Nothobranchius furzeri: one gene and its partner. The protein of the gene in region 2 interacts with the protein of the main gene of each other region in a biochemical or structural test. Links are inferred from orthologs where the notes say so. Each region holds a gene or a part of one and is shown on either strand. Other genes may lie near its edges.

Region 1 (3,822 bases), on a different chromosome or scaffold from region 2:
CGGGGTAACGGGGGACTGAGTTGCAGCTGGTGGAGACAGGGGGGTGGAAACCTCCTTCAACACATGGTCACTCTGGAAGAGAAGCAGAAGCTTGTGTCCATTTATTAGCGTTTAAACCGTAAAGCCCTTTAAAGTTTCACTCGAGTCCGAAACTTCTCACCAGACCTGCTTTCACCCTGTTCAGGATTCAAACTGAACTCTGTTGCTTTATTCTCTCACTCAGATCTTATGCATGTGACACCAGTTCTAACTCAAGTCCCATAGTTACCATCACACACTGGTGAAATTACATCTCTGCATCTAACCCATCCCCGTGGGGAGCGGCGAGCTGGACTCAGGAACGTTTTGGTGCTTTTACCCCCCAATCCAACTCCATATAGCTGAGTGTCAAGCAGGGAGGCACTGGGTCTTGCGTCCCGTCACGTGGTCAATGTAAGTGACAGTGTGACATAGATCTGTCGGGGTTTCCTATCAGAAGCTAATGCAGCAGATAGGTGTAGGAGACTATTTTCATGTTCGGCCTGCATGTTAAACTCAGAGTTACTCATTAGAATCAGATATCAGATTTAAAAAATATTGTTTTCAGTGAAACACCTCTTCAATAATCATAATAATGGATTGGATTCATATTGGCGCTTCACAGAGAACCCACTAGTCTGCAGGTGATGGTAACTACATCATAACCAAAGCTGCCCTGGGGAGGTCTGACTGAGGCCAACCTGCCATTTCGCACCACCGCCCCTCTGACCACCACCGACACAGGCAAGTCGGGTTAAGTGCCTTGCCCAAGGACACAACTGCAGCATTCCCAGGAAAGGAACAGGAAACCTTCTGATTACTAAACAACCTACAATAATTAGCAAAAGTCAACACCTGGGAGATATGAAAATAGGAAAAATGCTGGAAGTGCTGCAGGGGTGTAAACGATTTTTATCTGGTGCTCTTCAGCCAAGGGATCCACATATATTGGGCAAAGAGATATGAGGCACTAGGGGTTGTATGAATTAGTCGACTTCACTGCTCTGTAGTGACTTTTTATGCCTGTCATCGACTAGTCGCTGTCACGTGATAATGACCGGCAAGATCCAGTCCTCGGAAAAGACAGCAGGTGACAAGCTCCTGCATGTCGGGAGGCGACGAGCTGTGCCAGAGCGTCAGTACTGACACCAACAAATTGTGATGTTTACCCTCCTGCAATTTAACATTCCCCTCACCCCATCCTAACCTTAACCAGCTTGCGCATGCAAAGCTCTGATCGTTGACGCGCTCCAGACATCTGCGTCCTGCGCACCGCCACAGTAACATTATCAAATCAGGTGTCACCACCTCAAAAACTAATTTAACACGCGATTGTTTATGTCGGCTCATGTCCTTTAATGTTTCTGTCTTTTTTTGTGCCTGATGCGTTTCGCTGCTGTGGAGCAGGGCGCATCACCTGTTTTGTCCCCCGGTGATGCACCTCACTGATGCGGCCGGCGAACAGCGGCACTCCGCTGTTTTTGCGGTCGGTAGATCTTTTAGAACTGCAGTTCAAATGTAACTCATAAGGTGAATATATATGAACCCAGGTAGCAGTTTTTCTTTAGGATTGAGAGGAAATGCAGGAAGATAATAAACAGATACAGGACAGAAAAATAGTCAAATAAAAACAAGTCAGTTTTTGTACATGGTGGTTGCAACAAACAGACACCATTGAAGGTCATCAGAAGTGAGGAACAGAAAATGAAATAATTATTTTAATGTTTAGAGCAGCAGGAACTCTGAGAGGCTGCAGGCGCACTGCGCATGGGGAGGGGGGAGAGAGCTGAAGCGGAGCAGTATAGATGCAGAAACTACCGTTGTTAAAAGAAATGTGTTTATCTTTGAAAATGTGGGCGCAATTTTAATTGTCAAAAACTCCAGCGAACCAACCGACCCCACATCCAGATTTAAACAGGATTTTTAAACAAACTCTTTTTGTCCATTTCCAGAAGCTACAGGTTGGCGATCAGCGAATGCTCGTGGGAAAACCCGCCTAGGATCATTTCTGTTATTTTAGTTCAAAATCATCGACAAATAAGGTGCTGCCAACAGCACTGATGATCAGTGAACCATTTGCAAAGGCTTCTGGTGGAATTAGAAAGGTGTTATTAACGTTTTACAGATGAATAATTAACTGTCAACACAGGCCCAACATTTAATTCAAGTGGAGAGGCTCTGCTGCCAAGAGGGGATGTATTACAACCAGCTGGCCACACATCAACAAGGAGGGAAGGTGGGTCACTCCGACATCCCCACGCATCCATCACGGTCTCTTCCCTCAAAGAGAAAAACATAAATGATTGCTGACACGTCACAAACAGAGCGAGCAAGGCGGTTAAGAGGAGTGTTCATCAAATAACAGGAGGTTGAGCGACAGCCAGAGCTCTTTTCATTAACTGGCTTATTGATAAATGTCTCCAACACTGGCTGGCCCGGTGTGTGTGACTGGTTTCACATCACTAAATAAACACCAGGCGACGATAAGCCTAGAGGAGCTCTTAATTACAGCGACTATAATTAGACTAAATGTGTCTTTTACCTTCTCTGATTTCGCTTCTTTGTCTTCGTGTTCTTTGGTGGCAGCTTGTTCTTTAACGACTGTGGCCTCGTCCTCATCGCTGTCCAGGATTTGACGGCTGCGTTTGGCAACCTTCTTGATGGGCGAATCAGCTTCCTGGACACCGTTCTGCACCTTGAGGGGACTCTTGACGGGCCTGAAAACACACACACGTCGTTGAGACTCGGAATCGAAGCCTGATTCATGGAGTTGTTGAGGAGCTCGTTGACAGCGCGCCAAGTTAAAAACATTAAAAATAAAAGGGAAGGTCTACAGCAAAAGCAGTAAAACACAATAAAGATGGAGTCATAAAACAAAGAGGTCAAAGCAATGATGAGAGGAACGTTGCATAAAGGCGAGTCAATTAAAAGCCAGTTTTAAGACGAGCTTTAAAAGATTATACAGTCTGGAGATAATGAACACTTTATCATCAAAGCAGAAATGAGAAACGCAAGTTCTCGTCTTCTGACAGTTAATGACTCGACTAAAAAGTTTTACTCATCAGCGCGGGTCTGTCACTCGCTGCATCCTCCACACGCTAATGAGCTGATTTACCACAGAACCATCCCTTCTCAGCGGAGACGGGCCACCCATCAGGCAGGAACCAGTCGGAATAAAACAACCATTTACATCCTCAGATGAACCAGTCGGACCATCCACAGCCGGTCACACAAATACGAGAAACTCAAGTGTCAGAGTAAAGACTGGATGGCAGCAGTGATCCTGCTCTGTGTGTCTCAGATCTGATGTTGACAACTAGCTGAACCTTAAATTAAATGGCCAGTTTTAAACCCCTCAGCAGTGTTTGTGGTAACTGGTAACGAGTGGAGGAGGTTTGTCCCACTAGTCTTTCTGTTATTGTTGTTACTCAGCCACGTTGGAGGGCTTTCAGGCAAAAACAGCTTGTTTAAGGTTGTTTAAGTAGGGCTGGGCAATAAATCCTAAATGTATCATTATTGAATTTCTGGCTCTTACCAATATCGTTTTTCTCATGTCAATAAATGTGATAATAAAAACTGAAAATGTGTGTAGGCGGATGACAGTCATGTCCCTTTAAGAAGCTGTACCACAATGTGACTCAACACGGAACATGTCACAGCCCCATCTAGTGGACAACTTTTGTTTCAGACCATACCCGTAGTTACCATCCATTTATCGTTATCAAGGTGAAATCCTCAAAATATAGTGATATTGATTTTAGGCCATAATGCCCAGCCCCAGGTCAAAGGTCATATTTTTCTCCA
Region 2 (3,822 bases):
TGATGACCAGTCATCCTGAGAAGGAGACTTCCAGCGCTGCTGAGGATGGAAGTCAGCGCTCTCCTGCTTCCTCCCCACCTAACAAACCTGCTGCAGGTGAAACTCAAAACCAGTCTTTGACTAAGCTCCTGACTTAATCAGGTTCTGAAGAGAATTATTAAAATTTGACTGTTTTTTTAACGTAGTGATCGCTTAGTTTAATCTTTAGTAACATGTTTTTTCATCTTCAGTAACAGTTTGTATCTCTTCTTAACAGGTCACGCAGCAAAGTCCATTTCCTCAATGTCATCTTATCCTTCCACCTCTTCATTTTTTTCCCCTGGTCGGGCAAAGATGAGCGTTTCCGGGCCGTCTTCTTGTAAATCCGTCCTCCCACCTGGCCCTTCCTCCTCTTCCTCTTCTTCATCCTCCTCCTCCTCCTCCTCCTCCTCCTCTTCTTCCTCCTCCTCTTCCTCTTCATCTGGCTCAGCTTCGTTGACACCTTCTGTCTCCCCGAGTCCACACAAGATCCACCGGGCCCGTAAGACCATGAACAGGCCTTCACCCGGCCAAGTAATGACTTCTGTTACACATTTTTATTCCCACAATTGTTTGTTGTTTTACTTTTTCTGAAAGGTTAGCATTTTTTTATTCGACAGGTGAGTTACGCTGAGACTCCTGCTACGTCGGGTTCCTCCACCTGCTTCTCTACTGACTCTGAAACAGGTAAGTTCTAAACTTCGATCATATTTACTCCTCCGATTGTTCTCCAGCACTCGTAATTACAGGTCCTCTTCTACTGTGTGGTTTTTAAATTAATTCAATGTACGCCGATCACTTCAGCTGGTTTTTGGATTGTTCGTACCGACCTGCAGCTTTTGGTTGAATCAGAAAACTAGTTTTCATGCAGAAGTCTCAGTTGGCACCACTCTGCTCAGGTGTTGCATGGCAGAATGAGCCAATCTTTGCCTCCTGATTCGGCTATATCTCTTAAACACATCGTTGCAACACCAACATGTCTTTTAAAACTCAGAAAATGCTCCTGAAATCTTGTTTTCCATGTAAGTTTGACTGTTTAAAAAACTAAAAAGGCTTTTTTTTCTCTTATAACTGTCACGCTTTGTGTTGTTTTTCTGTTTCCACCAGCTGCTAGAAAGAGAAAACTGGGTCATGTATCAGAGAGTAAATCTGAGAAGGGCGACAGCGTTTCAGAAAAAGGCCAAACTGTGGTAAGTTGATGTCTTCGTGTTTGATTTACTGGGGGGGGGCCGTAAGCATTTGAACACCTGAGGAATCGGCAGAATTCTGGCTCAAAGACATTTTACTCTAACTTCAAAGTCCACCTCTACTCCACATATTAATCTAAACTGGCATCACCTGTCTAAGCTTCTTAAGCACATCTGTCCACCTCACAGTCAGTCAGTCAGACTCCCAACTACTAACCATGGGCAAGACCAAAGAGCTGTCAAAAGACACCAGAGACAAAGTTGTGGACCTCCATAAGGCTGGAAAGAGGTACGGGGCAATTGCTGGGCAGGTTGGTGAAAATAGATCAACTGTTGGAGCAATTGTTAGAAAATTCAATTCAAGTTTATTTATACAGCGCCAAATCACAAGAGTTGTCTCAAGGCACTTCACATAATAAAGCATTCCAACACAGGCCAGGGGCCTCATTTATCAAGCTTGCTTACGCACAAAACGGGGTCGGAAAACTGCGTAAGCAACTTTCCACGCAAACTTTGGGATTTATGAAGGAAAACTTAGCGGAAAAATGTGCGCAACTTTAAGTTGACTAAGGACCTGGCTTACGCACATGTTGGACATGGAGAGCACCTGCAGTGCTGCTGCTGAGAAGGATAAAATTATGAAATCCTGCATTATTATCACTTGTACTGCTTCGTTTTCACACAGAACAAGACACCCCACATGCACACACATGCGCGTGCACACACGAGCTCGCGCACACACACACAGCCTGAAGTGCAGAATACGGAATGCAGAATATCAGCAGGGGGACAGATTGAGGCAGAATGTCGTGCGTCTGTGACAGTGTGTGTGTCTCGTCACTGTGATAAGATTGATCATGTGCCCTGGCTACTTGGACAAGAGAGATTACTGTTTGGCTGACTGGTTAGCGCGTGTGACTTTCACTCGGGAGTCGGGATCGACTCCTGTTTGGATCATTTTTTTATATCCGCCACAGGAACTCATCATTAAGCTCCTCGTGATTTTTATCTTGAAAGGCGCTATAGAAATGATATTTTCTCCTTCTTCTTGACGGCTTCAGCAACACTGTGCCACTCCGTGGATTTTCTCTTATTTGTTTTGCAAAAGCACTTCCTTTCATTTCGCCACCTCAACTTCTACTTGTGAAATTGGGCTTCCTTGGTCTGCCTTGATCTACGGTCGCCATGTCATTGGCGGAGCACTGCAACAAGCCGGCTTATGTATATGCATGAGATCCACAAGGCACTTTGCATTGAATATTTATGGCAGTAAGTGGGTGTGATGAGGGCGGGATGTGACCAAAAAGCAGCTGAGAACATTTGTAGATAGTTTCCGATTTATGGAGCAGAGATTGCGTGCAGCTGTGCGTACTCCATGTTTGATAGATCACAAACCTACTTGGTGTAAGTACTTTTTTTTTTTTTTTTTGCTGAGCTTAAGTACGGTTTTAGTAAGGATTCTACTCAATGTTTGATAAATGAGTCCCCAGTTCATTAAGCCAATCAGAAAAAAGTTTCCTATATAAGGAACCCAGCTAATTGCATTGAGTCACTGACGCTACAGCGATCCTCATACTAAGCAAGCATGCAGCGACAGTGGAGAAGAAAACTCCCTTTTAACAGGAAGAAACCTCCAGAGGATCCTGGCTCAGTATAAGCAGCCATCCTCCACGACTCACTGGGGATCAAGAAGATAGAGCAGACACACACACACACACACACACACACACACACACACACACACACACACACCAAGTAATGTTTCCATGGTTACATTGTGATCCTAGTGATTCTATAATTAAACGGGTAAACTAGTAGTAGCACATTCTATGTCAAAGAAAGTAAAATGTTATTATCAGGAGAGGGAGAATGTTTAAGTGGTTAGCAGCAGTGTGCTAGACGATGGCCCCCTCCATGAGGGCACCACAGCTCAGCAGAACATCGATGTAGCTTCTTCTGGGGAGAAAAACACTTAGAGAGAAAATAAAGTTAACAGCTGAAACAGCAGGAAATAATACAGTTAAAGAGCAGATTGTAGAAGAAAGTAGTCGAGTGTGGAAAGTGGTCAGTGTGTCCTCCAGCAGTCTAAGCCTATAGCAGCATAACTACAGAGCTAACTCTGGATAACCTAGCCTTTTACCCCCAAATTCCACTACCTCCGCTCCGCTCCGGTCCGGTCCGCCCCCGCCTTCCGCAGCCGCTCGCTTCCGAACTCAATTTTTACTGGTACCCGCTCTACAACGGCTCCGCTCCGGTGCGGAGACCTGAGGTGGGCAAACAAGCATGCGCAGGATTTTCGAGATCTTGCGATACAGTCCGAGCAATAAACGCGGAAGTTAGATCCAAACACCCGTTGTGTGGGAGAAGCATCAAAATGAACTGTTTAATCTGCCCATCATTTGTGTTGAGAGATCAGCAGTGTTTGGATCAACAAAGTGTGACTACTTTGATAGTAGAAACTGTATTTATGGCTTACTTTTGTGCATTTAAACTTCAGCTGCCACTGATAGTTGTTAAAAGTTGTTAAACCTGTGCATATGAAACAAAAAACGCCTTTTGTTTATCAATTTATTGTGAAAAACGGAAGTTGTGCTCGCTCCTTTTCCTGTTGGGCGTT

The links.
Region 1: of the proteins of ehmt2 (region 2) and lig1, one has a biochemical effect on the other in vitro, tested with the Homo sapiens proteins (3 studies listed by BioGRID). The link is inferred for Nothobranchius furzeri from reciprocal best matches to the Homo sapiens genes EHMT2 and LIG1.

The regions. Positions count from the first base shown.
Region 1 is NC_091751.1:40,307,490-40,311,311, reverse strand, and holds part of lig1 (DNA ligase 1), read right to left. Parts: intron 2,736-3,822; coding exon 2,561-2,735; intron 73-2,560; coding exon 1-72.
Region 2 is NC_091759.1:8,513,424-8,517,245, forward strand, and holds part of ehmt2 (histone-lysine N-methyltransferase EHMT2), read left to right. Parts: coding exon 1-96; intron 97-256; coding exon 257-552; intron 553-638; coding exon 639-705; intron 706-1,125; coding exon 1,126-1,208; intron 1,209-3,822. UniProt on the Homo sapiens protein: Histone methyltransferase that specifically mono- and dimethylates 'Lys-9' of histone H3 (H3K9me1 and H3K9me2, respectively) in euchromatin.